6 linked regions of the Neurospora crassa OR74A genome follow. The protein of the gene in region 5 purifies or fractionates together with the protein of the main gene of each other region. This does not show direct contact. Links are inferred from orthologs where the notes say so. Each region holds a gene or a part of one and is shown on either strand. Other genes may lie near its edges. The genes, in order: NCU00133, NCU09552, NCU01164, NCU07870, NCU02539 and NCU04548.

The links.
Region 1: the proteins of NCU02539 (region 5) and NCU00133 purify together in Saccharomyces cerevisiae (affinity purification with western blotting; 6 studies listed by BioGRID, with this or other methods). This does not show direct contact. The link is inferred for Neurospora crassa OR74A from reciprocal best matches to the Saccharomyces cerevisiae genes MCM4 and POB3.
Region 2: the proteins of NCU02539 (region 5) and NCU09552 purify together in Saccharomyces cerevisiae (affinity purification with mass spectrometry, with the first as the bait; 3 studies listed by BioGRID). This does not show direct contact. The link is inferred for Neurospora crassa OR74A from reciprocal best matches to the Saccharomyces cerevisiae genes MCM4 and TOF1.
Region 3: the proteins of NCU02539 (region 5) and NCU01164 purify together in Saccharomyces cerevisiae (affinity purification with mass spectrometry; 4 studies listed by BioGRID, with this or other methods). This does not show direct contact. The link is inferred for Neurospora crassa OR74A from reciprocal best matches to the Saccharomyces cerevisiae genes MCM4 and SPT16.
Region 4: the proteins of NCU02539 (region 5) and NCU07870 purify together in Saccharomyces cerevisiae (affinity purification with western blotting; 7 studies listed by BioGRID, with this or other methods). This does not show direct contact. The link is inferred for Neurospora crassa OR74A from reciprocal best matches to the Saccharomyces cerevisiae genes MCM4 and POL1.
Region 6: the proteins of NCU02539 (region 5) and NCU04548 purify together in Saccharomyces cerevisiae (affinity purification with western blotting; 3 studies listed by BioGRID, with this or other methods). This does not show direct contact. The link is inferred for Neurospora crassa OR74A from reciprocal best matches to the Saccharomyces cerevisiae genes MCM4 and POL2.

What each region holds. Positions count from the first base shown.
Region 1 is NC_026503.1:2,735,905-2,740,732, forward strand, and holds NCU00133 (FACT complex subunit pob-3), read left to right. Parts: upstream 1-1,669; 5' UTR 1,670-1,916; coding exon 1,917-1,927; intron 1,928-2,083; coding exon 2,084-2,306; intron 2,307-2,362; coding exon 2,363-2,856; intron 2,857-2,914; coding exon 2,915-3,286; intron 3,287-3,343; coding exon 3,344-3,941; 3' UTR 3,942-4,205; downstream 4,206-4,828. Other genes in the region: NCU00132 (hypothetical protein), read right to left, coding at 1-202, 302-422. UniProt on the Saccharomyces cerevisiae protein: Component of the FACT complex, a general chromatin factor that acts to reorganize nucleosomes. The FACT complex is involved in multiple processes that require DNA as a template such as mRNA elongation, DNA replication and DNA repair.
Region 2 is NC_026505.1:4,563,835-4,568,424, reverse strand, and holds the start of NCU09552 (topoisomerase 1-associated factor 1), read left to right. Parts: upstream 1-1,473; 5' UTR 1,474-1,642; coding exon 1,643-1,717; intron 1,718-1,777; coding exon 1,778-4,590. Other genes in the region: NCU09553 (3-hydroxybutyryl CoA dehydrogenase), read right to left, coding at 1-663, 739-855. UniProt on the Saccharomyces cerevisiae protein: Forms a fork protection complex (FPC) with CSM3 and which is required for chromosome segregation during meiosis and DNA damage repair. FPC coordinates leading and lagging strand synthesis and moves with the replication fork.
Region 3 is NC_026505.1:3,095,340-3,100,093, forward strand, and holds the start of NCU01164 (transcription elongation complex subunit), read left to right. Parts: upstream 1-1,803; 5' UTR 1,804-2,366; coding exon 2,367-2,543; intron 2,544-2,642; coding exon 2,643-2,727; intron 2,728-2,783; coding exon 2,784-2,905; intron 2,906-2,976; coding exon 2,977-4,582; intron 4,583-4,634; coding exon 4,635-4,754. Other genes in the region: NCU01163 (GAF domain nucleotide-binding protein), read right to left, coding at 219-298, 421-425, 514-618, 754-756. UniProt on the Saccharomyces cerevisiae protein: Component of the FACT complex, a general chromatin factor that acts to reorganize nucleosomes. The FACT complex is involved in multiple processes that require DNA as a template such as mRNA elongation, DNA replication and DNA repair.
Region 4 is NC_026503.1:1,181,955-1,186,544, reverse strand, and holds the start of NCU07870 (DNA polymerase alpha catalytic subunit), read left to right. Parts: upstream 1-1,323; 5' UTR 1,324-1,498; coding exon 1,499-1,787; intron 1,788-1,878; coding exon 1,879-4,274; intron 4,275-4,323; coding exon 4,324-4,590. Other genes in the region: NCU07871 (hypothetical protein), read right to left, coding at 1-715. UniProt on the Saccharomyces cerevisiae protein: Catalytic component of DNA polymerase alpha, which in complex with DNA primase (DNA polymerase alpha:primase) constitutes a replicative polymerase. POL1 has a role in promoting telomere replication during interaction with CDC13.
Region 5 is NC_026501.1:2,663,892-2,668,684, reverse strand, and holds the start of NCU02539 (cell division control protein 54), read right to left. Parts: upstream 3,174-4,793; 5' UTR 2,964-3,173; coding exon 2,639-2,963; intron 2,576-2,638; coding exon 441-2,575; intron 368-440; coding exon 1-367. Other genes in the region: NCU02538 (coatomer zeta subunit), read left to right, coding at 3,638-3,677, 3,758-3,859, 3,944-4,184, 4,258-4,501; NCU11234 (translation initiation protein Sua5), read right to left, coding at 4,739-4,793. UniProt on the Saccharomyces cerevisiae protein: Acts as a component of the MCM2-7 complex (MCM complex) which is the putative replicative helicase essential for 'once per cell cycle' DNA replication initiation and elongation in eukaryotic cells.
Region 6 is NC_026507.1:1,471,238-1,475,841, reverse strand, and holds the start of NCU04548 (DNA polymerase epsilon), read right to left. Parts: upstream 3,081-4,604; 5' UTR 2,821-3,080; coding exon 2,195-2,820; intron 2,130-2,194; coding exon 1,984-2,129; intron 1,931-1,983; coding exon 1-1,930. Other genes in the region: NCU04549 (hypothetical protein), read left to right, coding at 4,023-4,604. UniProt on the Saccharomyces cerevisiae protein: Catalytic component of the DNA polymerase epsilon complex which participates in chromosomal DNA replication.

The sequences.
Region 1 (4,828 bases), on a different chromosome or scaffold from region 5:
CTACGAGGTTCCTCGGACCAGTAAGACAAGGGGGTGCCGCAATAACCGCAAAAGTGGCGCATAGAATGCTGTTCAAAGGGCGAAGTGTAGGCGCGATGGATCATCGACGTCCTTTCGTCGGGAGAAAACGAGAGCGTCGAGCTATGGTACCATGGCAAAGGTACCCGCAGGAAAGCAGCCAATGGTGAGGCATGGGAGATATCTGCATTGGCAACATTTGGTCAGATGATCTATACTCCTAGCAAAATGGAGATAGTGATCGGAATTTCCTGAGAGTCAGTATCGCTGGACAGGTTCCTACATTGAGAAGGCGGTGGGTTGAAGATGACTTGCGCCGCCTGTGTAGTGGTTTGCGGAAACTGGATGATGTAACGATTGCGGCCGCATTGGCAGCCACCACGGAGGGGACGCTCGAAGCTCATCTTTGAAAAGGTGTAGAAACAACAAGGCAACAAGAGTGATTGATGGTGGAAAGATTGATTCAAGCTTCGTTGGGATCCTTGGGGGGCCAAGTAAGTGTGCAAGTCGGAAGTTCGGTATACTAATAGCTCCAGCTAAGGTTCAATTGAAGCAGGCAAACAAACGGCCCAGGCAACAAAGGAGAGCTTCGTTCTGTTTGAATAAAGAAACCGAGCGAAATATGACGATCAGGGCAGACGAGTGACGGAAGGAAGTCGAGGCGGGGCAGCTTGAGCGGGTGTGCGGGATGCCACCAGTTCAAGCATGTAATACGTCAATCGTGGGGTGGCGTATAAGTGCCCCTCGTGGTCTCCAGGTCAAGGCCGCAGGCAGGAACGTCTACGACGGGAATTGTCACCTTCGGTGAGCGAGTCTTCCGCCCTTGTGAAACAGCCAATGGGCACAACAAGAACGAACTAACTTGAGAGTTATGTTTGTGTTCAAGGGAAGAAAAAGAAAGAGATCAAGAAGTGGTACAAGGCAGAGAACATTACCACTTAAGGTGACTAAGTACCTCTAATACAATCCCATGTCATGAAACAGGCGCGGAAGATATCATATGCAACCACTTAAAGCTCCACGCGCTAGCCCCACATGCTTTTTGGGGGGTTGACGATATTGGGAATCGCGCCCATGTCCATGAACCGAAGCTATGTTGAGTTTGTTTAGTAGATTGAGAGTGGCAACCCAAGTGGCATATTTGGAACCAGTTGAAAGCTTCAAAATGCTCTGACCAAACAAGGAACGCTTGTCGCGAGGGGACACTTTTCCCACGTAACGAAGCGACTCGCTTGGAACGTCCTCTTTCCCTCCCGTGTTCAACGGGCCGAGCACTAGCGGAACGAATACAAGCAAGAAGGAGCGAGATACAAAGAATTCAAATGTGAAAAAACCACCCAACATAATTGTTGATCCGTAACTACAAGAGAATGGAAGGTGTTGTGTTACTGTAGATCGCGACAGATTGGAGGACAAGAGGACGCAGTTTCTTTTAGACATTCAAGATGATACAAACAGTGAATGACTCTCAGAGCGACAAGAAGGCCTGTGTGTCGTTGGCAAAGCTTCCTTGGAAGGTGACAACTGAATAAAGTGGTGGTGTTCTTGCAGGCTTGGGAGAGAAATCAGAAGCTCACAGTTGCCACGCGCTACAACCAAGCTGTTGCCCACTGCGTAGACCCTACACGTACAGTAGTACTGCGACTTGCCACCTGCCACCAGCATGGGTCGTCGCCTAGCCCAGCGGAATGCCACCTGCCAGCCGAATTAACCTTCAATTAACGAACTGGCCTAGTCGCGACACGGTCAACTTTCTCCGAGGCACGCGAACCTTCAGTTGGATTGTTCATCAGTATTTGCTTGCAACACTTTGCAATCACTGCCACAACATCAGACGCCATTTCCAACTTGTCCATCAACCCCAACTCACCATTAAACCAGTTGGATAGAGGGGCAATATGGCTGCCATGTAAGTCGCATACCTTTCTGGATTTCATGCTTTCGCGCGCTCTTGCTCGTCTAACCCTGCGACGACGGATGTGCCCCGCTCCATCTACGCCGTAGGGCACGGCTTTCACCGGCGGAGATCACAGCTCAGTGCCATTTCTAATACCTTCATTTACAGCGAGAGTTTTGACAATATCTACTTGGATCTGTCCAAGGAGAGCGGAAAGTCGAGATTCGCGGAAAATGGCTTGGGATGGAAACCTGCGGGTGGCGGCGAAGCGTTCACTCTCGACTCGAGCAACATCGGCGGTGCTCAATGGAGCAGGGCGGCGAGGGGCTATGAGGTTAAAATCCTATTGCGAAGCTCTGGCGTAGTTCAGCTCGATGGTTTCCACCAAGAAGTACGAAACCTATCCACGCGCCATCGAAGCGAAGGAACGCTGACGTGTTGCCACAGGATTACGAGCGCCTTAGCAAGATCTTCAAGAACTGGTACAGCGTGAACCTCGAGAACAAGGAACACTCTCTGAGAGGATGGAACTGGGGCAAGGCTGAGTTTAGCAAAGCCGAGCTCACTTTCAACGTCCAAAACCGACCGGCCTTTGAGATTCCTTACTCCGAGATTTCCAATACAAATCTTGCCGGAAGGAACGAAATCGCAGTCGAGTTCGCCGGCAACGATGGCGGCAAGTCGAACGGTCACAGCGGAACAGGCGGAAAGGGCAAGAAGGCGTCGGCCGGCAAGGATCAGCTGGTCGAGGTGCGCTTCTACATCCCTGGAACGACAACACGAAAGGAGGCCGAGGGTGGTGAGGCTGGTAGCGACGCCGATGAAGAAGAGAAGAACGCCGTGACTCTGTTCTACGACACCCTTATTGAGAAGGCCGAGATTGGTGAGACGGCGGGTGATACTATCGCTACATTCCTCGATGTGCTACATCTCACGCCCAGGTACGTGGAAACTGCACGCTGGTTGTTGATCCTTTTCCGGTGCTAACTCTCCCGATAGAGGACGTTTCGACATCGACATGTACGATGCCTCCTTCCGTCTCCGTGGCAAAACATACGACTACAAGATCCAATACGATGCTATCAAGAAATTTATGGTGCTTCCCAAGCCGGACGATCTCCATTTCTTGCTTTGCATTGGTCTCGACCCGCCCCTTCGTCAAGGTCAAACACGTTATCCATTTGTGGTGATGCAGTTCAAGGCGGACGAAGAGGTGACTCTTGACCTGAACATCACCGAGGAGGAACTCAACGGAAAATACAAGGACAAGCTTCAGAGCCACTACGAGCAACCACTTCATCAGGTTGTGGCGTACATTTTCAAGGGACTTGCGAACAAGAAAGTCACTACACCAGCCAAGGACTTTACAACGTGAGTTATATCTGTTCATTTCATAGCCAGCAACGGTACTGACCTAGGAACCCGCAGGCACCGTCAGCAGTACGGCATCAAGTGCTCTATCAAAGCCAGTGAAGGATTCCTCTACTGCTTGGAGAAGGCGTTTATGTTTGTCCCCAAGCCGGCCACGTACATCTCATACGAACAGACACAGTCCATCACGTTTTCACGCGTGGGCGGTGCGGTCTCGGCATTGTCGACGTTCGACATTACAGTCCACATGAAAAACGGCGCGGGCTCATCCCAATTCAGCAACATTAACCGTGAAGACTTGAAGGCTCTCGAGGAATTTTTCAAGCTCAAAGGACTGCGTGTCAAGAACGAAATTGATGATGACACCAACCTTATTGCCGCCGCCTTGGGCGATGACGACATGGCTAGCTCGGACGAAGAGGCCGTCGGCCCCAAGGCTGATCGTGGCTCCGCTGACGAGGATGAGGAGAGCGTGGATGAGGACTTCCAGGCTGAGTCCGAAAGCGACGTGGCGGAGGAATACGACAGCAACCATGAGAGTGATGGGTCGGGCAGCGAGGAGAGCGACGTCGACAATCGGGTCGATGATGAGGATGAGGATATGGATGATGACGAGGGAGAGAAGCGCCCCAAGAAGAAGAAGAAGACGGCTTAGGTTTATTTTTCATGTTGGCGCGTCGTTACTTGTTTGATTAAAAAGGCAGATCACAGGCTGGAAGGCAGGCAGGCAGCTGGGTATTTGGGGCGTTCCGGTACTTTCGTGACACGAATATGTGTTAATTCTGTATTTTCTCTACCATATATCGATACGATACTTGGGGCGTCAAAGACGACATTCCCAACGGCAGTGTCAAACTAGTATCTCGATGTTCCCTCAACTTGGGCGCGCAATGGAGCTAATGAACACTGAAGAGCGGCAGGCAGATGGTCAGCTACCTAGTTGATCCGTTATGGTTCTTTTTTTTCCCCTTCGACTACAACGAACATAAGACATCGGCACATCCTTTGAGACTTCGCTTCTTCTTCAGGGCCGCAGGATGGATAGAGGCCGTACTCCAAAAGTACGGCATGGAATGTATCAGCCTGCAGGGCGTGCAGGCGGTTGAGGTGGGTATCGCTCTAGCGGTCAAAAATCTACCTACCTGGTAGGTAGGTACCTACCTCTATGCGTTCCCGCTCTGTCTACACTACACTAGGATGCACATTCCTTCTAGTGTACATAGTGGTGCCCTGCGTGGCCCGGTGGGCACTTCGGTTGATGCGGAGCGGTCCCTGCTGAGTGCGCTTCGGCAGACTTCCATTCAGCTGGGCGGGCTTTAATTCGGCTCCAAAGTTAAGCCCCACCAAGGCGGTGGGTATGACCCATTTCCGCGTTCCTCCTCCTCCCTTTGTTTTCTGTCGACCAGTCCAGAAGCCATTGATTGGTGCCAATCATCAGCTCACGGCCTCTCCTTGGTGCTGTATCGGACAGCCACACCTGCACCGTGATAAATTTATTCTCACTCGTCCTGGTATTTTTTGAGACCTGATACCGCGCCCAAA
Region 2 (4,590 bases), on a different chromosome or scaffold from region 5:
GCCCATAGGCACGTTGGTGCCGTTCTTCATAATAGCATCGATAGAGTCACGGTCGCCAACGCCAGTCTCCAGGCAGATAATGGCCTCATTGATGTAAGGCATCAAGATGCGGTTAGCCAAGAATCCCGGGCTGTCCTTGGAGATGGAAGGGATCTTGCCCAGCTTCTTGCAAAACTCGACGGCCGTGTCAAGCGTCTCCTGACTGGTCTGCAGACCGCTGATGATCTCGACTCCCTTCTGAACGGGCACGGGGTTCATGAAGTGCGTGGACACGACGCGCGAGCTGTTGGAGGTGTCGTTGGGGTCCTTGGTGGTTGAGGCGGCGATGCGCGTGATGGAGATGGAAGAGGTGTTGGTGGCTAAGATGGCGTGCTTAGGGCAGATCTCGGCCAGCTTGGAGAAGATGTCGAACTTGAGCTTGGGAATCTCAGGCACAGCTTCAATCACAAAATCGACGCTGTCCAGGTCCTCGAGGATGGTGGTGGGCTGGAGGAGCGCGCGGGCGGCGTCCGCCTCATCCTGAGTGATGCGTTGCTTGGCCACATCCTTGCTGAGGAGCTTGTCGGCGAATGCAAGGCCCTTGTCTAGAGACGTTTCAGAGGCATCCACAAGGGTGACGGGGACTCTGGCCTTGGTGGCGGCGACGAGGGCGATGCCCAGGCCCTAAAGGAGAAGGAGGACAAGTCAGCCGTTGCCGTTGTTGAAGACATGGGCATGAATGATATGGGCCGGACTCACCATCTGGCCGGCGCCAACGACACCGAGCCTCTTGACCTCGGCAGCGTTGCGGGCGCATGTCGAGCTGAAGGCGCGAGCGCCCATGGGCAGCTTCTGGACGAGGGTTCTAGCAAGCATTTTGCGAGATCGTCACGGCGAAAGTAAACAAAGCAGACACTGTGACTGAGAGAGACTGAAAGGAAAGGGACAGAAAAATCGGAAGACTACACCTAGGTAGGCAACCAGGGCACCTCTAGAGAATGCGAATGCGACGATGTGAAGTTGTCGGATTCGGTTAACCTCGGCCGTCCTCGTCTCCAACTCGACGTCACAAGCCCGACCCGGGCCACGGGGGGGACATAACATACTGCCGTACAGGAGCTACGGGCGGCTCTAGCCTTTTCTTAGGCGGGGAAAATGGGGTCGGTTTTAGCGCGTATGGAGTACTATGTACGCTACCTAGAGGTACAAGCATGTCGTTCAGGGGGGGCAATTGCGGGCATGATTCCCGCGCCAACTCAAGATCCTCGGCTGTCGTTGATTGCCCGTCCACAGGGGTAACTCCGCAGCTCTCCACGAGGTCGAAATCGGGGTGCACAGGTACTGCTGCAGAGGTATCTCTAGTAGGTAGCTAGGTACATTAGGTACCTACTTACCCAGGTATCTTAAAACAGTCCGACAAAACGCTTGGGGAGATAAGCAGGCCAAGACCAAGATACCACCAATTTCCATTAAAAAGTACGACACGGTCGGCGCGTCTCCCACCACCACAAACGCGTGTCCCGTCCCGACAAAGTGCGCCCGACCAATGCCACCATCCATGCGATAACAAAACGACCTCCAAGACAAGCTGAGAGTTGGGGAGAGTCTGTCTAGTACTCGTATGACTCCGTTCTGGTCTTGGACGCCGTGATTTCTGCGCAAAATGGAGGCCGCAGACATCAACGACGATGTCGTCCATCCGGAAGTGCGGGCGCACATCACCAACCTGGTTTCTGCGGTATGTCCACTTCTGGACTCGTTATATACACGGATGTACTGACTCTGGCGACCCGAATAGCTCGGTGGTTACAGCGCGGACGATGATGGAAGCTACAAGCTCGGTGACGAAGCGCTAGACGTCTTGCGCGACCTGAAGAAATGGATCCGATTCTACGATGAAAAGACCAATCGCATGGACGTCGCCAGATGTCTGGCTGAAGCGAACCTCGTCGGCGGCGATCTGCTCCAGATCCTGACATTATGGCCTCAAAGCGAAACCGACAGCAAGTACAAGGCCCGTATTGCTCTGGCGTGTTTCGAGGTCATGGTGCCCCTTACTTGGCCCATAGAGAAGGAGCGCGCCGAAATGACCATCAACCACCATCGTCACATGCCCGTTCTGCAGCTTGCCCAGCTTGGCTACAAGCGCGCCATCATAAACTTCGATGCGATACCCATCCTCAACACCGCCGTCAGGGTAGCCCTTCCCTCCATGGCCATGCCTATCGGCGAGCGGACACCCCGTGACCAGGCCATCATCAAGCTCATTCTCTTCTTTTTGAGGAACGTTGCCATGATCGCACCCCCGCAAGGTGTCAAATGCGAAGGCGACGAGACACAGGTATCCAGGTCGGCAACCATTGATGCCTTTTCGTATCAAGACATATTTCTCACTCTGCTGACCCTTGCCTCCAACATGGGCGAGGACTTCCGCACCGAAGATGTAGTTATCATGGAAATCATCTTTCATCTTGTAAAAAGAGTTGACCCCAGCTCGCTCTTCGTCAGTGAAAAGCAACTCAACAAAGCCAAGGGGCAAGAGCTGGCATCGGAGATGCGCAAGGAGGCTGCTATGCTAAAATCCTACAACAAAACCACCACCACTCGGCACAGTCGATTTGGGACCATGATCTGGGTGAAACGAGCAGATGGCAAGATGGTGACGGTATCTGGCCAAGAGGCTCTTTTGGACGCAAAAACGCGAGAGAGGAAGATGGATAACTCCAAAACATTCAGACCGCCAAGAAGAGCGAGGAAACCCGAGATGGAGCCCAAGGACCTTGGCCCTCCGGTGACGCTAGATGAAAGAGCTCGTCAGCAGCTGCGATCATTCGTCCAAGACTTCCTCGACTCCGGTTTCAACCCCTTGTTTCTGCACGTGAGGCAATCGATCGATCGGGAGGCATTGCATGCATTGAACCAGCATAAGAGCCAGTTCTTTTACCTTGTCGCCTGGTTCCTCGAAGCCGAGCGGATGCGGAGAAAGGCCAAGAGGGACGAGTCGAAGTCGACGTCCGCAGCCGGAGAGGAGGTGAACAGTTTTAACCTCGTTGCTGCTGTGCTCCAACAGGAAATGTTCGCTTCCATGAATCGTGCGCTTGACCGGTCCTATAGTGATAAGGATTGGCAACTGCTCACGTCCGTCATGCGCTGTTACACCCAGATCTTCCTCACAGTCCAGGAGATGTCAGAGTCTCCCAACGAGGAAGACCAGGAGATTGCCGAAAACACCCTGAGCCGTCTCTTTTACGAGGAGACAACCCACGACCTTATCGCGAATATTGCTCGAACATACAAGGATCAAGGCTTCGAATATCTTGATGCCGCGACCGAGCTTGTCCACACTTTCCTCCGCATTTTAGAAGGTTACTCTAAGCAAAATGTCGATTTGCAGGTGCGCTCACGGAAGCGAGCTCGCCGAAAGAAGAAGGCTGCCAAAGCTGCTGCTGCTGTTGCTGCAGCTAGAGCCGCCGGTGAGGAAGCAGAAGACGTTGGCGTTCCCGAGGACAATGATGCCGATGATTCTGGGGACGATGAGCAACATGCAGAGCGGGTCACTCAGGAGCGCAAGTTCGAGTTTGGGAAATTCGCCATTCGATTCGCTCCCCAGGGTGTTGTCGACACATTTGTCGCCTTCACCAAATTCTACCGGGATTTGAACGACGCACAGCTGAAGCGCGCTCATCGCTACTTCTACCGCGTTGCCTTCAAACTCGAGCTGAGCATCATGCTATTCCGACTAGACATCATCAATCTCTTTTACAACATGGTCCAAGGTCCCGAGCCCCTCGACAAAAGCTCGCCGATGTTCAAGGAATGGGAGGAGCTCTCCAAGCAGATCATTCGGAAATGTGTCAAAAAGCTTCAAGAGCGGCCTGCGTTGTTCACCGAGTTGCTCTTTTCCAAGATTGGCAGCACGACGCACTTCCTTGAGCACGGCTATGAGAAGCCTGTCACCACAACTACGCCACGACCTGGTGCCGAGCTGGAGTTCAAGCGAGCCACAGAGCGCGACGAGCAGATTGGCATTGCGGTCAGCGTACTCATCGACAAACAGCAAGTCGAGCATCTGCAGTGGCTCAAGGATCAGCTGACAAGTGCAATGAGTGAGCGGCAAGCATGGGAGAACGTAGACAAGGCCATGGCAGCCACTACCGAGGGGGCGGCTGATGGTGAAGCTGCCGACGAGAGATCCAACAAATCAGCACCACCACATATCACGATCCGCCCTGATACCGAGGCTCGCCGCACAGCCATGTTCAAGAACCCGCACCTCCGTCTTCTCATGCGTCTAGTCGGTATGGAGCGTCTCACGCCTACTCTCGACGAGACCCCCGACTCGACCTGGATTCTCCCAGGCAGCCACACCGCCGAGGCGATCCAAGATACCATCGACCTCATCAACAAGGCCGAGTTCTCCCCTCCCACCTTTGAGGACGGCGGCTCAGCCGAAGACCAGCTCCGGCGCAAGTCCGCCGCCGCTTCTCGCAGGACGCGTGCCGCATATGACGATGATGAGGAAGAAATTCGCGGATTCCTCGGTGACGATGACGACGAAGACTTTCTCTTTGCGCCCGGCGGTCCTACCGCTCGCAAGCCGGACGCTAGGCC
Region 3 (4,754 bases), on a different chromosome or scaffold from region 5:
AGAGTCAAGTGTAGTGAGATGAGACGTATAGGTGTGTTTGACAGGCAAAGTAGTGACGCAGTGAGGAGAGGGAGATGTTGTCCAAAAAGGACAGGAATTTTCGACGAAGCAAGGTAAAATGAAAACTGAAAGAAGAGATAACGACCGTTGAACAAGCAGAGGTAGGAAGAAAAAGCTGGATTGGATCTTGAACAAAGATGAACACAACAAATACTTACCAGCCCAGTTGACCTGGTTGCTCGGAGCCGGAAGAGACTTGAAAGCGTGCCAGAGAAGGGCAGCGCAGTTGGACAAATTGCTATTTTTTAAAGAGTACATTAGCACTACAATGAGGATCTTGTACGTTCCATCTGTTGTTTTCAGGACGGACCATCCCGAGAAGGGGCTGTAGGGTACATGTGGGAGCCAACGTCGACTTACCAAACCTAACGAATGTCAATCATTCAGGTCACCTTTTTAGACATTGTCCCTTCCTGATGTGGTGGTGCAAGCAGGCTTGGTTCCTCATCTTACCCAGTTCCTCTGCTCATAGAACAGACCTTCAGCTTGGTCAAGAACCTGCTGGTAGGCCTCTTCCTTGGTGACGTTGGCAGCAAAGTTGGAAGCGTCGGCGTGAACCTATAAGACGAATACCGTGTTAGTCTCAACCGTCCTCAAGTTTGGAGAAGCCTGTAGTTCGTAGGTAGGTATGCGCGATGAGGTCTTCAACTGTCTCGAAACAAAGGATTGGACTGATTGAAACTGTTCACGAACCATTTTGACGTATTATTATGACCCTGTTCTTTCTATGTACAAATCTTGAAAATCGACCTAGAGTGGTGGTGTTGGACACCGAGGAAGCGAACTTCAACTTTTGAAATTTGTCATTCACTTCTGAATCCGGGGAAGTGGGGCCAAATGGCACTGCTCCGGTCGGGTCCGTGCGGAACTGCCGCCGTACCGGCAGCCGATGGGCCGGCCCCGAGTGGCCTCCGGTGGATTCACGGTTTCGATCCCAAAGAGGACCGGACTGAATCACCAGCCGGATAAAGGAATCCAAGATAATTGTGCGGATACTTACTAGATGGTGTGGGAGGCTCGTCCTCGCTTCATACTGGGCAGGATACAGCTCAAGGGCCCTTCTCGGAAGTTGTGCTGATGGCAGCTTGTCTTCTATTAGTGATCTGGACCTTATGATGTGCTGTCTAAGTTACCCGAACCAAGGTCCAGAAGATGCCCAAATGGTTGTCGAGACGGCAGCGGGAACTACTTATTTTTGCAGTACAGCAGCTCGCTTTGCAGTGAACGTCAAATCACGGACAAGTGATTGGTTCGATGGGCACAGTTCGTCGTCTTCCACCATTCAGTAAAGTTTCCCGTCGGGCAGATGTTAGCCAATTTTTCCATCTCATGGCGGTATCTTCCAGAATGCCGATCTATCAAGTATAGATGTGAAACATCACAGGTTTTCCGAGCGGCATCTTGGACATTGCTCTTTGCACTTGTACGCGGTGTCTGGGCCCGTCGAGTCTATTCTTGAAGATAGTGTTGCTGTCGTTTCGCACAGTGATTGCCATCACTCGTTCATTTATTCATTCAGGTTGACATGGGTATCAGCTCTAGGTTGATCGCTGCTGAGGACGTTCTTTGCGTCGAAGTAAAGAAAGGTGAGTTCTGGTTAGTACGTCTACTAGTATTTAAATGGAAGAAGTTCGGCACCCCAGAGCTTCCATCGCTTGCCAAGACTTAGTTTAATCGTACCTGTGCATTGGAAACTTAGCTCCACCCCTCCCGTCCCTCTGTTTCCATTCCACGCCCTGTCCCGCCTGTCCCTCTTTCATCTCCATGCACTCGCTGCAGGGCACCTAAAGAAAGAGGTACAAGTTCGACTTACAAAGTTAACAGAATCGCAAGTTGTTGGAAGTCCCGACGACACCATTTACGCTCGTCTATTTCCATCATTCATCAATATACTTCTCTACGATTCCCATACTACAGACCTTTCAGGAATATCACCATTGCCGTGGCAACCAGCATATATAGTTGCCTCAGGCACAGAACAGAACCTCTTAGGCATCCTAACGCGAAGGCAGTGGACAGGGGCGCCAAGAGCTGTGGCCCGTGACGTGAGCGACGCGCGACACGGGAATTTTTGTGTCTTTGGCCTGGAACCGGATCCCGGCTGGCAAGCACTGTAAAGTACTAGCAGTGCCGGCTGGAGAGGTGTGGTAGCCTTGTTTCTGTCATCTTGAAGGGTGTCTGCCGCCACCGTCAGTACCAGAGCAAGCAGCCCCTCGCCAAAAGCACGACTTCACCCAAACCCAAACCTCTGCTGATTTGATTGTTTCTGCCATCTTCAATCGCGCGCCGCTGTGCCGTCGCTCATCATGGCAGACATCAAAATCGACAGCAAGGTCTTCCAGGAGCGCGTCTCGCACTTCTACAATGCCTGGAAGGCCGACAAGCGCTCCGGAGACGCTCTCTTCGGTGGCGTCTCTTCCATCGTCATCCTGATGGGCAAGGTCGACGAGAACCCCGAGTTTCACAAGAACAACGCTATCCATGTGAGTTTTGCCCTCTGGAGAGCCCGCTCGGCGTGCGCTGGCTGTACGTCTGGCGGGCCATTCCAGTCAAATGACAGCTGCTGATAGCTCTACGTAAAGTTCTGGCTGCTAGGTTACGAGTTCCCGACGACCCTCATGCTGTTTACCCTCGACACCATCTACATTCTCACCACCCAAAAGAAAGGTTCGCCCGGTATTCCCGACCCAAGAACGCGGACAAACTATCTGACACGTTAATAGCCAAGTACCTCGACCAAGTGAAGGGCGGCAGATACCCCGTTGAGGTCCTCGTGCGGGGGAAGGACGCCGCCGAGAACGAGAAGCTTTTCATCAAAATTACGGATGCCATCAAGGCTGCGGGCGTAAGTTACATCCCATCCTGGGCGCACATCAACATCTCGGTGCGGTTCTAACACATTTTCGCTCGTTATAGAAGAAGGTTGGCGTCCTTACCAAGGACACCTCCAAGGGCCCCTTTATCGACGAATGGAAGAAGGTCTATGCCGATAACTGCAAGGATGTGGAGGAGGTTGACGTTGCCCAGGCTCTGTCTGCTGGCGCCTTCTCCGTCAAGGATGAGACCGAGCTTCGTGCCATGCGGACCTCGTCCAAGGCTTGCGTCGCCCTCCTGACCCCTTACTTCCTCGACGAAATGTCCAATATCCTCGACCAAGATAAGAAGATCAAGCACAGCGCACTAGCCGATAAGGTCTTCAACAAACTGGAAGACGATAAGTTTTGGAAGACCGTCGAGCTGCCCAACCGACAGAAGCTCCCGGCTGACCTCGATCCCGAGCAGCTGGACTGGATTCTGGGACCGATCGTCCAAAGTGGTGGCAAATTTGACCTGAAGTGGCAGGCTGATTCTGACAATGATATACTCCACCCGGGAATTATCATCGCGGCTATGGGTCTCAGATACAAGTCCTATTGCTCCCAAATCGCCAGAACTTTCATGGTCGATCCCAACAAGTCCCAAGAAAGCAACTACAAGTTCCTACTTGCTGTCCACAACCTCATTCTCAAGGAGATCCGGGATGGTGCCATTGTCAAGGATGTTTACACCAAGGCCTACAACTTTGTGCGGTCCAAAAAGCCCGATCTTGAGAAGCACTTTCTTAAGAACGTCGGCTTTGGAATCGGCCTGGAGAACAAGGACCCGACCTTGATTCTCAACAACAAGAACACCCGTACCCTTAAGGATGGCATGACACTGGTTGTGACCACCGGCTTCAGTGATATCCAGAACCCCAACCCCCAAGACAAGAACAGCAAGGTCTATTCCTTGATCCTTTCCGATACGATCCGTGTCACTAGCTCCGAGCCGGTGGTGTTTACTGGCGAGGCGCCTGTCGATGTTGATGCCACCTCGTTCTTCTTCAAAGATGAGGAAGAAGCACAGCCCACACCGAAAAAGGAGAAGCGGGACTCTAGGGTGGGTGCCGTTGCAACCAAGAACATCACTAGCACTCGTCTACGCTCTGAGCGTAATACAACGGTAGATGAGGACGCGGACAAGAGACGTCGCGAGCATCAGAAGGAACTCGCGCAGAAGAAACAGAAGGAAGGCTTGGCCAAATACGCCGAATCTACCGCTGATGAGAATGGCGTCGAAATCAAAAAGTTCAAGCGCTTCGAATCTTACAAGCGGGATAATCAATTCCCGCCCAAGGTTAAGGATATGGGCATCGTTATTGATCAAAAGAACGCGACCATAGTACTGCCTGTTATGGGCAGGCCGGTACCCTTCCATATCAACACCATCAAGAACGCAAGCAAGAGTGACGAGGGCGAGTGGTCATTCTTGAGAATCAACTTCCTATCTCCTGGCCAGGGTGTGGGTCGGAAGGATGAGCAGCCCTTCGAAGATGCATCTGCGCACTTCGTCAGGAGCTTGACTTTCAAATCAACCGATGGCGATAGGTATGCTGACATTGCAAACCAAATCTCGAACCTCAAACGAGACGCTGTCAAGAAGGAGCAGGAGAAGAAGGATATGGAGGACGTAGTTGAGCAGGACAAGCTCGTTGAAATCAGAAGTAAGTCGCTTTCCCGGATCAATTGTATTGCAACATACTAATTAACTATCAGACCGTCGGCCCGCCGTATTGGATAATGTCTTCATCCGGCCGGCCATGGAGGGCAAGCGTGTGCCTGGTAAGGTGGAAATTCACCAGAACGGTATTCGCTACCAGTCACCTCTCAGCACAA
Region 4 (4,590 bases), on a different chromosome or scaffold from region 5:
ACATGCTGTCCAAATCGCCGGCGCGGGCACATGTCTCGAGGACAGCGTTAAGATGAATTGTGGTTGGCTTCACGCGCTCATTCCTGAGCAAGCTGTGGTAGATCTTGACGGCTTCTGCAACTGCCTGCTTGGGGTGCTCGCTCATGGCGCAGCCTCGGAAGATGATGGTGTAAGTCCTGGCATCTGGAACCTGGGCGCGCTTCTTCATCTCGTTGTAGATCTTGATGGCGGCAGACAGACGCTTGTTCTTCATGTGGTAGTCGATCAGATGGTTCCACGAGACTTGGACCTTTGCGTTCTTGCTGGCCTTGCGGGTGAGAACAAGGGCCTCTTCATATTTTCCTTTGTCAAGGGTCAACTTGACCTGCTTCTCGATGTGGAAGGGATCCTTGAAGTGCTTTAGTTGTAAAGCCGCACTGCGCTCCAGCTTCTTCCGCTGCTCGTCGCTCAGGTCCCTCTTCTTCCTCTTCCCTTCCGACCCGTCTCCATCTTCTTCCCCTTCCGGCGCTTCGAGATCGAGGGTAACGGAGGGATCGGCGGCAGTCTTTGGCTTGAGGGCGGGCAAGTGGTAGGATCGTATGGTGGTCGTGGACTGGCTTGGTGTAAGTGCGCCTAACCTTGGAAGGGCCAGACGAGATCCAACTGCAGGCGCATTTATCCTAGCCAAAGCTCCAGGAGCCAGGCCTTTCCGCAGACAAGCCCGGCACACAAACATGGTTTGCGGACAACCGAGTTTGCCCTTGATTGTTTTGAATCTTTTTCTTCTGCGAGGTACGGGCCGAGGTACCTGTGTTGCTAATGGTCGGTTGGTGGGGTATCTGGATCGTCGAGTTTCCTGTGACGATTTCCTGTTGTTCTAGACAACTTTGAGAATTGGGCGATGTGGTATCAAAGCTATGGCCCGGGAAGAAATCGATATTTGGTATTTTGCTGCGGCGGGCGCACAACTGCCCTGGACTCTGGACGGAGGATGATGCTGAGATGGAGACCGTGAATGATGGCCAAAAGTTAGGATGACATTCCGAAATTTTGGAGACTGATCTACAAAAATGCCTGCCGCGGCCTTTTGCACTTGTGGAGACGCGGTGGGTCGGGGGTCGGCATCAGGTACACTGACAGGGGCCCCGTTGCTGAAAGGTACGTACACTATGTACGTGGGCCACTACGTTGCTTTCCTTAGGTATCCGCTTAGGCCAAAGCAGCAGAACTGCCCCACCTCTTAAACACGACCGTGACGGGGACAAGGGTTCGCGCTTACAGTTTACAGTAAAGTACGCGACGAGTAACGAAACTAAACGCGACTTTCTTTTTGTTACTGGAGGGGACCAATTGAACCCTGTAATCCCACTATATTTCTCTTACGACTCTTGTCACCAACACTACCACATCACGGTGGCCCCGTCGACATTCTCTCCAGAGTGTTGGCCTGGTGCTCCTCTGTTGTCTCGTCACCATCCAATCTCCAATCCTAAAGGCAACATCACAACGGCCTGTCAAAATGTCCAGACGAGTAGCCAAGCGAGACAAGTACGCTGAGCTGCGCGAACTGCGCCAGTCCGGCAAGAAGAAGACCTACGACGTCGGCGAGATCGACGAGCTCTACGAAGAAGTCGACGAGAACCAGTACAAGAAAATCGTCAGAGACCGCTTGAACGAGGACGATTTCGTGGTTGACGACAATGGCGAGGGTTATGCCGACGACGGCCGCGAAGAATGGGACCGTCTCCCCCAGTACCACAGCGACAGCGAGGAGGAATTAGGCCTACCCGGCAGCAAGCCGCGCAAGTGTGAGCAGATCGAGACGCTGAAACCCGACGATGGGAGCAACTTATAAAGCACTCTGGTTCTGGTACTGACCTTCGTTCTCCTCCCTCTTAGCCAAGAAACAAAAGGAACATGAAGATGCGAAACGAGATGCCAACGACAGAGACATCACCGAATACTTCACGAAAGGCGCCGTCAAAGCCCCACCAAAACAAAAGGTCATCAAAACAGAAGAAGATGAAAAGTTCTTGGACGACCTCATCGACCAGGTCACCGCACAAATCCCCGTCCCGGTCACACGAGTATCCAAGAAGCGAGATCGATCAGTCGAGAGGAGAAAGGTCCGGGTGCTCTCCCCGGTACGGGAACCTCGGCCACCCATGGCAAAGAGAGCCAAGACAGTCGATGATCGGGCATCATCCCCAGCAGGAGACGACGACCTTCTACCAGACGACGACTACCTGCCTGCTATGGACGACGAACCTGCACCAGTCTCCGATTATCTTATGAGCGACGCCATCATGCCCTCCTCACCGGCCGCCAAAGTAGCAACACGGAGGACGTTTGGCAGGCCGGAACCCAAAAAGAATGAGGATGATGAGGACGAAGATGAGGACATGATGGAGGTTGCCCATACTGGAGCGGTAACAGCCGCCAGCGTCAACATATCAGCATCCCGTCAAATCAAAAAGATTCTCAAGACAGAGCCCGTCCCGGCCAGTTCGTCACCCGCAAGGGCACCAGCGCCAGAGGTCGACGCTGCTTCCTGGAACGAGATCAATCAGAAGCTCAATGTCGTATCCATGTCACAAAGCGAGGGCAGGAGCGTTGGCAAGATTGACTACAAGGACGCTATCGAAGAAGACGGCAGCTTGAACATGTTCTGGACAGACTACACAGAGGTCAACGGCAGTTTGTGCTTGTTTGGCAAGGTCCTAAACAAAAAGACCAAAACCTACGTCAGCTGCTTTGTCAAGGTTGACAACATTCTCCGGAAGCTTTTCTTCCTGCCGCGCAAGTACCGTGTGCGAGGTGGCGAGGAAACAACAGAAGAGGTGGAAATGATGGACGTCTACAACGAGGTTGATGAAATCATGACCAAGATGAATGTCGGCATGCACAAGATCAAGGCTTGCACCCGCAAGTACGCATTCGAGCTTCCCGACGTTCCCAAGGAGAGCCAGTATTTGAAGCTCCTCTACCCATATACCAAGCCTGCGATGGAACCCACCCACAAAGGCGAAACCTTCTCCCACGTCTTTGGTACCAATACCGCTCTGTTCGAGCAGTTTGTGCTCTGGAAGAACATCATGGGCCCCTGCTGGCTCAAGATCGAGGATGCAGACTTCACTTCCTTGAGGAATGCTTCGCACTGCAAGCTGGAGGTCCTGGTAGAACATCCCAACATGGTGTCGGTCCCGGATAACGCCGAGAGTATTGAGCCTCCTCCTTTGACGTTGTTAAGCCTGGCTATGCGCACAGCGTTCAACCCTAAGGATAATAAGCAGGAGATTCTCGCGGTTAGCGGGAGAGTCTACCTTGATGTGTCGCTCAGTGACACCACTCCCCCAGACAAGCTTGCTTCTCGTAGTTTCACCGCTGTTAGACCTTACGGTAGCGCATTTCCTATCGGCTTCGAGACGCTTGCCAAGGAAAGAAACAGAGGTGTGCTCAAGCTCTTCAAGCAGGAACACGAGATCTTGAATTTCTTGCTCGCACAGATCGATGTTGTCGATCCAGACGTTATCCTTGGCCACCAGCTAGAAGGTGTTGACTACAGCATCTTGCTGAACCGGCTGCACGAGAAAAAGACACATCAATGGTCTCGTTTGGGCAGACTCAGGCGCTCTCAGTGGCCCTCGTCCATTGTTAAGATGGGTGGCAATGTATTTGCCGAACGTCAGATAATGTCTGGCCGTCTGCTATGCGATCTTGCTAACGATGCCGGTAAATCAGTAATGACCAAGTGCCAGACCTGGTCCTTGACCGAGATGTGCAGTCTGTATCTGGGAGGCGAAAGTCGTAGGAGGGATATCGACAACGAAGTCGCCCTGAAGACGTGGGCTAACGCTGACAAACATGGTTTGATGGACTACATCTCCCACGCCGAGACTGACACTTACTTCATCGCGGCTCTTGCACTCAGGACTCAAATTCTTCCTCTTACCAAGGTTCTCACCAACCTGGCTGGTAACTCGTGGGCAAGAACACTTACCGGTACGCGTGCTGAGCGGAACGAGTACATTTTGCTTCACGAATTCCACCGCAACAAATATGTCGTCCCGGACAAGCAGACCTTCAAGGGTCGGCAACGCATCGAGGAGGAAAACGCAGAAGAGGAAGGCGGAGAAGGAGGAAAGAAGAAGGACAAATACAAGGGTGGTTTGGTTTTCGAGCCAGAAAAGGGTCTTTATGACAAGTTCGTTCTCGTCATGGACTTCAACTCCCTTTACCCTTCCATCATCCAAGAGTACAACATTTGCTTTACCACAGTTGATCGAACATCACTGGTAAGTCAGGGTCCTTCCTCCGTTGACGTCACAAGCTAATGCAAAGTAGTCCGAGGACGATGATGCTGTTCCCGAGGTTCCCAAGGAGCAGGCGCAGGGCATTCTTCCCAAGCTGATTGCCACACTCGTTAGCCGACGTAGGCAGGTCAAGTCTCTGATGAAAGACAAGAATGCCACACCTGAAGAGCTCGCCACCTGGGATATCAAGCAGCTCGCCTTGAAGTTGACTGCCAACTCCATGTACGGCTGTCTTGGTTATACCAAGTCGCGCTTCTACGCCCGTCCTCTTGCCGTGCTCACCACCTATAAGGGTCGT
Region 5 (4,793 bases):
TCATGTCGGCCTTGCGCTGGCGCTCCGCCGCGCTCGTGCCCTCTGTCAACAAGCTCATGTCGATGCGGCCCTGGCTGTCGGTGGCGGCGGTCTTGAGCGCCGACTTGATGAGGCGCACGGCCTCGCGGACGTCGTCGCGCGTGACGGTTTGAGATAAACGCATCTTTGCGTGCGCCTCGGCTAAGCGAATCATGGACTCGAGCTGACGTGTGGTGGCCGTAATGCGCTTCTCGGCGGCGCGCACGTCTTGGCCCAGCTTGCGCATCTCGACGTAGGCATCGACGAGCTCGCGACCGGCTTCGGGCGTGAGGGCCGGGTGGATGTGCGAGCGGGCGTAGGAGATGTAGGAGGTTAGAAACTCGACGGGCTGTTTTTTTGAGGGGGAGTTGGTTAGTTTGGGGTTCATCTTCGTGTGGATTGACAGACGGGGAAAAACTCACAAGGACGTCGTTGGCCTGCTGGGCACTCTCGGGCTTGTCTTCGAGATACATGGAGAGCAAATGGCGGGCCAGACGCTGATCATTCTTCTCATCAACACGATCGAGGATGAGGTAGACCAGATCGAAACGGGATAGAAGGGTTGGCGGGAGGTCAATATTTTGCGGCACTGATAGATCAGGGTTGTATCTACTACCAATGGGGTTGGCAGACGCCAGGATTGATGTTCGGGCATTGAGAGTGGTGATGATGCCGGCCTTGGCGACGGACACGGTCTGTTGTTCCATGACTTCGTGAAGAACGGAGCGGGTCGATTCGTTCATCTTGTCGAACTCGTCGATACAACAGACACCGCCGTCGGATAAGACGAGAGCACCGGACTCTAGAACGAGTTGGCGGGACTCGGGATCGCGGGTAACATAGGCGGTAAGACCTACGGCAGAAGAACCTTTACCACTCGTGTACACACCTCTTGGGGCGATTCTGTGAACATAGGAGAGAAGCTGGGACTTGGAAGTGGATGGGTCACCACAGAGGAGAACGTTGATGTCTCCACGGTATTTGGGGCTTCCACCCTTCTCAAAGGTCTTGTTCGTGCCTCCGAACAGTTGAAGAAGAATACCCTTCTTCACATCATCCATCTCGTAAATTGATGGAGCCAAAGAACGTGAAAGGAGATCGTAGATATCCGGTCGAGCGGCAGTTTCCTTGATCCTCTCTTCCTCATCAGGAGAGACCTTTCGGACTTCGTCCATGCTCTGGCCATTAGCATGGGCTTCCTCCTCCTCGGCAAGGTCGAGGGTCGAGGGATCAGAACCCATCCTCTTGCGGTCGACCTTTTGTACATGGACAACATCAACATATGTCTTGTGCACGCTCTTGACCGTCCTCATGCGCGGGTTGACACGAACGGGGGTGACTTTAAAGATACCAGTGAGCTCAACTCTGTCACCGGCCTTGCAAAAGTCCACAAGCTCGTTATAGACGCAAACGGATACCGAGTGGGGTGTCTGACCAGCAGGCACGTTATCCGGAGTTTCTTGCAGCTTGATGACTTGCTTGTCTTCGAAAGCACATCTGTTGTGGATGATCTGCATTGAGTTCTTGGAGGCGCAGCGAGCCCGAGGACACTCTGTAGGCTCACGAATCTTGCCACGATCTAACTGAACGGTTATAGAATGACCACAAACACTGCACTTGAAAAATGCATCCTTCATGTCGGGGATGACCGGCGTGGTTCTGATGACAAGACCCTTGATGGACACAAGCTTGTCCATGTCAGATGGGTTGAGGTCACGGAGGTTGGTGATCTTGTCAAGACCCCACGGGCGAACCACATACGCCATCTGGCTGACTTGGTCCTCAATTGTGGGCGCCGCTGTTTGGGCAGGCCGCGGGGTGGGCGGTTCCTCGCTCCTTTCAGAGCTTGGGAAGTTCGGCTCCGAGCTTTGTGAGGCACCTGGAGCGGTCCTAGAGTTTTGGGATGCTCTTTGGCTGGCCATTTCCTTTTGCGCCAACTCCATCATACAGTCATGTACGCATTGATCCATGACCGGGATGATTTCGGTAGGATAGTGTTGGGCCTGATGCCATAACTTCAAGGTGCGCGGGTAGGACTTGAGGTCGCGGAGATCCAGATACAGCTTGTTGGTACCAAGCAGCAGCATATTCTCCAGTGCCTCCCAATATGGCTTCGAATCCGCATCCGGATGGCCAATAGTCTCGGCCTCGTCCGCGCCATCTGCCCACATCCGGTATTTCCTGGTGAAGTTCCTGAGAAAGTCCTTGAACGCGGAGAACGAATCGTCAAGAGAAATTGTTGTACCCCAAACAAGACCTTGGCTTTGTCCACCAAGGGCATCTGCCTCAGAGGTATTGGGGTTATTGGTGACAAACGAGTTGGCATCGGAGCCAGGGGCATCGCGGATCACACGACCGGCGTCGTCGAGGATGATTCGGCGGGGAATCTGGGCGGGAGTACGAAGAGGGTCCCCGTTGATGTCGCCTCGACGGGATCGACCGGCAACGGACCTTTGCGAGCTGACGAAGAGCTGACTGCTTTCGCTACGAAGATCGGACTGTTGAGTAAGCTGACGGCCCGGGCTAGAACTGGAGGCATAGCGGATGGGAGAGGAGTCTGCGGAGTGTGGTCAGCATTCAGTGTAGTCCTTTTTTTTTTTTTTTTGGTTGACAGCCATACCCCCAATTAACTGGCTCCGTCCGTTTGCGCGAGGAGTTCGGTCAGCATCGCTCTGGGTCTCTGTCTGCTGGCGCAAAGGCGAGCTCGGCGCATTGCCTTGGTGGGCAGTGCTCTGGGTATTGCTCATCTGCCTCAAGGGAGAAGATACCGGGGCGGCGCCATTGGCAGGCGAGGAGGGCTCGTAGAATAAGGGACTAGAGGCAAGCTGTGATGCGCGTGTCTGGCGAGGAGTTGCGCTCGAAGGACCAGCCTGCGAGCTGCGAGTAGTGCGGGGAGTAGCTGATTGGGAGCTTCTCGTTGTTCTGCGCTTTGCTGGGGAAGACATGTTTACTACTCTGTCCTCGGTGGTTTTGTTGAGATAATACAAAGTATGGAAACTAAACCAACAAGAAGGGACAGAAGACGGGCAGGTTGGGATGGAGACGCTGGAGTGTTGTTGTGGCGGCTCCCGATCCCTCTGTAATTGCGAGGTGGTTGGCAGGTCGGCAGCGTGTTCAGGACGGGCAAGGTGGATCACGTTCCTATCGAAAAAAAAGACAGTCGCGACACACGCGTCTCTGATAAAAGCACTTTACACGGCCGTTCGTGTCTGCGGGGGCTTACTCGCGTTGACCCATTAAAACCCCTGTCATACCCAAATGAGACGGACGAGGCCACTGCAGTGCTGCTCTTGAGTGCGAACTGTCAGGTACGTAAGGTACGTACCGCGCCGTGGGGCCTCGCTTGGAGTGTTCGCTCTGGATTCAAGCCACATCACAGGGACCGCTTCACCCCACAATACCCACGCTCACCACGGTAACCAACGATACCGCCTGCCCCTGGTCATTGTGAGCACTACCTACCTACGCAGCACCTCTGGAGTTCAAGCTAACCACTATATACCTACCCACTTGCGCCCATTGAAGTCGAGTTGCCCCTCGTCGCCGACCTTCTCCAACCGATACCAGTCTCGAGACAGCAATTGATCAAGAAACAAGAACCCCCAGATAACCAGTCAAGATGTCGCCAGGAATGTCGCTGTATAGCGTCAACGCTATAGGTACACTAGGCACCACGCTGCTCCTGGGTCCTGGCTTATACGCGCCACGTCGAGCAATGTTGACAATTGCGTTCCAACAGTAATCCTCTCCAGCGATGACGGTTCGCGGATATTCTCAAAATACTACACTCCTCCTCACGCTGCCGCTGGCGCACCAGGAACAGGAGTGGCCGCCGGACTCGGTACGCAATAGACGCTCCTTTTACCCCTTATTCGGTGTCGCATGTTCCCGTAAGGCTGACCAGCCCGAACCTTGTGCACAACAGCTTCCTCGAGCGCTTCCCAGAACCCCTATCCCGACAAGACTTCTCAAACCCGTTTCGAGAAGGGCCTCCTTCAGAAGACAGCTAAGCAGACGGGCGATATCCTCCTCTACGACAACAAGGTGGTGCTTTACAAGATGGAGTCGGACGTTGCTATCTACGTCGTTGGTAGCGCGGACGAGAACGAAGTTCTGCTCTACAACGTACTTTTGGCGCTTAGGGACAGCTTGCATATGCTCTTCAAGTGAGTATTTATGGCGAACGTGAAGGTGCCGGTCATGGGACATGATTTGGCTAACCACGGACTTTCTACTCAGGCAATCGATCGACAAGCGCACGATAGTCGAAAACTACGATCTGGTATCCCTCGCTATCGACGAAATCGTGGATGACGGCGTTGTTCTCGAGACCGATCCCACCATCATCATTCAACGATGCAGCAAGGCGCCGCCTGCCGATGTCAACCTCAGCCGCCTCGACCCCTTCACCGAGCAGGGTGTCAACAACTTGGCACAACTAGGCAAGGCTAAGCTTACTGACTGGCTTCGTCAGGGTCTCTAAGGGCATGTGCGGGTGGGTAATGACAAGGGAAGGAGTGTGGCGGATGGGAGCAACCAAGGTAAAGTTGGCGCATTGGTTCGTAAAAAGGTATCAGGCCCTTTTGTTTGGCGAGCCTTTTTATGGCAGAGTAATGAGCCAAAGGCGAAGCAAAAAGACACGAAAAGCCAACAAGTGATGGGTTAGCAGAAAACAGGAGTTATAGTCTTTTCCCTTGCGATCTATAGGGTTTGACCCCGTCTATATTCTAATGTCGGAAGCGGCTTTCCTCAGCCTGTTCATGACCGCCGCCGCG
Region 6 (4,604 bases), on a different chromosome or scaffold from region 5:
TTTTTGAGTTTGAACACAAAGTTCTCTGGGAATGTCGCCGGCAACATGCACCAGATACCATCAGTGTCTAGCTCGAGTGGACGACCCAGTCGCTCAATGAGCTGTCTCGCCAACTGGATAATGGTTGCGCCCGTCAAACAGGTGACACCGGCCATTTCCATCGAGTACCATCTAGATCCCTTTCTCATGACGTATCCGTAGAAACTGTTGAGAATGACCTTGTGGGCCAACTGCAGGGAATCGAACAAGATAATCATCTTTTTGGCATTATCGATTTCGGACGCGGATGCGCCCGAGCTCTTGAGCGAATCCGTCTTGCCCTTCCACACCTTCGCCTTGCCCTTGTAGTCGTATCGTCGGTCACGGAAGTCACGGACTGTGTTGATGTAGAAGGGGTTCTCGCGCTGGCAAATGATCGCTTCTCTGACAATCGTGGTGGAATCGTGGATCTTGTGGTACACCTTTTGTGAGTAGAGCTGCAGTCTCTTTCGGATGAGAGTGGCTTGTTCGTCTGCGCTCAGGTCTTGGAATGACCGCATCGGGCTGTTTGGGTATTTTCCTGGAAACCTCTCGTTCTCGAGTGCATGGCGAATCATGTTGTACTCGTCGCGCTTGGCTGGCAGGTACTCTCCTCTCCAGGCCCACGGTAGTCTTCTGTCACAAGTCTTTCCTGGGCGGTTGAAGTCGCATGCTGCACAAGTTGACTCGGAGATCATGGAATCGGGTTGTAATCGGTTGGTTGTCATAATGTTGGGGTACATGGAGGCGACATCAAGATGGTAAATGAGCGGCCGTTCCAGTCGATTGGGCGTCTCTTTGAGGTTCATCAACCTGGCCGTTATCTGCTCCTTGACCTCGTCGTAGTTGGCGATATCACTCAACTCCTTCTTCTCTTCAACCGTAATACTGAACGTTAGGGCTGCATCAAGATCCCGAATCAGCTCATCCACGGCGGTAGGGTCAACCGCGAAGTTGACGGGAATATCGGCGCGGAAGACGCCAGCTTCGATACTTTCGACGTGACCACCAACGTACGTTTCGGAGTCCAACAAGTGTCCTTCCCAGAAGGACTCCTTAGGCTGGACATGTTTATTGGGTAACACAATCTCCTTTTGGTAAGCCTGTACCATTAATAACATCTCGCATAGCGTACCGGTTCCCTTTCTTAGTGTATCGTCTGGGCCTAGCGGCAAGATGGTACAGAGAGAGAAGATGAAAGGATGCACATATTTCATGTACAGATAGTATGTTGCGACGGCATCGGAGACGGAGTATTCGGCCAGCGTCTGCGGCCTCTCGCTGGCATATGGTGTCATAAGCTCAGGATCGAGTTCATCGGGATCGTATCCAAGCTTGGCAACGGTGACGGCTTTGAGACCTCTACTACCCTGGGGGAGATAACTGTCACGGTTTACCCAGTGAAAGCAGTCCATGTGCACACTGTAGTTGCACTTGTACTGATCCTCACTGTCCTTCTTCCAGCCGATCTCGTGGTACATGTCGATGCCGTTGATACTGGCACGAGCCTCCACGAAAGGCCAATCGAAGAAGTCACCGTTGTAGGTGGCGATGACGGTTGGTCGGGCCTCCTTGATGTGCAGGAAGAATCTTTCGAGAAGGGCCTTTTCGTCAGGTTCGTTGAAGATCATAAACGGACCTTGGTACTCGGGTTTTGGTGTGTAGTCGAAATCAGCAATGTCTTCGGAGATAATCTCTCTATTTGTGATCAAGAAACCCTGGCCATCGATCATGTATGAGACCATCATGATCTGGTCAATAGCGGCGTCGGGAAACTTGAGGGGCAACTTGGTGGTCTCGATATCGAAAGCCATTACGACGGGATCGGCCATGGCCAAACGTTCCTCGTTTACTTTTACTGTCGTGACTCCATTCTTGGCCTCGACATGATACCATCTAGCAACTCGTATGTCTGTGGATGGTCAGCTAAGCACACACGCTGGGGAGTGTGCAAGGAGAACTGACCCAAGTCTATCATTACTCTCACATGGTATGGGACGTCGTATTCCCGGATATCAACAATGAAATCGCTCGCCTCTGCAAAACCAGCATTATGTCGTCGCTCGTCATTTCGTGAATCGTCATCAAAAAGATCAAACCCGCCGTTCGCTCTAATTGGGGGGGTATGTGTCAGCAGCGGTGATCAGCCTGTACAGATAACATGAGAGGAACCCACGATGCTACTTCGGCATATGTATCCATGGCATCCATGCCCTTTTTGTTCTTTTCCGCAATGGGCATGACATCGCGCTTGGCGGACATCAAGTCCTGCACGTTATGAAACCTCAGCTCCAAGAATGTTCGACGATAGCCCAGCAAGTGGTTGGGCATCTTGAGATCTTCCTTCTCGACCCGCCGGATGGACTTGACGCAGCCGCCACCAGGCACTCTCTTGCACCACTCCTCGACCTCGCCTTCGTGACCTTTTCGACATGCGACCAGAAAGTATGGCTCATATTCGACTGTGGCTTTGAATGTTGACCCGTCCTCTTCGATGAAGTAGCAGTCGAGTGCCGCGCGACCGCCGCCGCCGGGGATACGGGGGTCGTCGATGGATGTCGGTTGTACGTTGACCAGCCAGCCTTCGCGCTTCTTCCCGGCATCGTATCGGGCAAAGCCCATGTTCTCGTCGATCTGGTTCGCAAGGGCTGTCCTTTCCCATTTTTCGTCTGTCGAGGTAGCCTCGCCGCGGGCGCTGGCCGAGGCAGCGAACGTTCGTGTTTTGGATCCGCCATGGTAGGCGTTCTTGCCACCGCGACGGTAGCCCTTTTGAGGCTGTCGCCTTAGAGAAGTGTTGGGCATATTCGAAGAATTGGATTGGCCCTTGCGTAGGCCCCGAGATGTTCGTCTTGTGCTTTGGTCTGCCCTCCGTTTTCCGTCCTGTTCGGTAGGATCTCTCGATCCAAGAAAAGTCGGATGGAAATGGAAGGAGAGACAAGAAACAGGAATATGTCTTTTTCACAAGTAGGTTGACATGGAGGGCCAGCCAAGATTCGAGGTATGGCTGGCACAGGGTCCCTTGGTTTGGTGAAGAGAATGGGGTTGTGAGATGGGAGGCAGGCACTTCAATGTTTGGAAAGTCTCAGGAACCCATTAAAGTCGTTTAACTGGGAGACGCGCCAGACGCGACTACGTACGGTAGACGGTCCAATTTGTCTGACGCGCCGGGCGCTAAACGCACACATTGCCCACTAGTCAAGCTGATCGTTTCAGGGCACTCACAGGGCGTCAAGGCGCTGAACAAGGATTGGAGCGGTGGGGAAGTGGGCTGCCCGCCGGCAGACGCTCCCTCCACCTACCTCAGCTCGGGACACGGCCCCTCCGCCGGGGCGGGCATGCTCGAATCATGAAGCGGCCCGATCGGGAGGGACGGGAGCTTGGACCTTCCATTGTTGTCTCCGTCCAAGTTGCCGTCCATTGGATCTCCAAGTCAAAGCTACCTCTACCTAAGAAGGTCGGGCATTGTACGAGCTCGTCCCGTAGCCGGCTCCGAATCTGAGGGCGGAAGTGTAACTGATGTTACTAACTTGTGTTTGTTAGACGGAAGTTCTGATGACAATTGGAAGCTGAATCTCTACGGTAGCTCGCCTAATGTTCCCCATGTAAGTGCGTTAAAGTACCTGCATCTTCCCCGTAATCCCGCAAGGTCCCCACCAGGAAGAAAAAAAAAAGCTTCCCCGCGACACCTTCGGCCGCCGTGCGGAAGACGACGGAGAGAACGTCAATGAGCAGTCTCCATTGGCCAATTCCACTTTCTTCGTTTCCCTGCTCAATCCGTCACTTCAACTCACCATCACCTTACCGATACATATCGTGACTGCCATTCAAACACTGCAATCCCAGCAAGCGAATAACAACCAGCGACTTCCACATATATTCACACAACTACCATACACGCACAACTCCACACTTTTCTCTGCGCCCTGACAGAACTGCGCATTTTCGAGACGGAACACGAGAGAAACTGAAGCCCGTCCCATCAACAATCATCGCAAACCGCAACCATGACGCGTGACCAAACAACATCATCAACAACAACAACAACAACACCCACAAACCCCGACGCCGCCGCCCGCTCCTGGCTAAGCGGCGGCAGCGGCGGCTCTCCCCCTCCCCCTCCTGCTCCATTTGCGCCCTCTCAAGACCTCCAACAACAACCACCACAGTCCAACAACACCACACCACAAGTAGTCCCAGGCCAGCAACAACAGCAACAACCCTCCCAACAACAACAAAAACAACAAAAACCCACCACCCACTCATCCAACCGCATCTCCCTCACCGAAGTCGCCTCCACCATCTCCCCCTCCGACTTCCTCTCCGTGCACGAAACGCCCTGCGCCCGCCAAGGCTTCATGACAGGCATCGGCGCCGGCGCAGGCATCGGTGTGTTGCGGTGGATCATGGGCCTGCCCATCCCGAAAGCGGCCAACTGGGGTGTAGGGTGCGGGATCGTGGGGGCGATGGCGCAGTACGAGTACTGCCAGTGGCAGAGGAGGAAGGAGAAGGAGAAGATGCAGAGGGTGGTGGCGGTCTATACGAAGAAGCAGGCGGAGAATAGGGCCAAGGAAGCTAAAGAGGCGAAG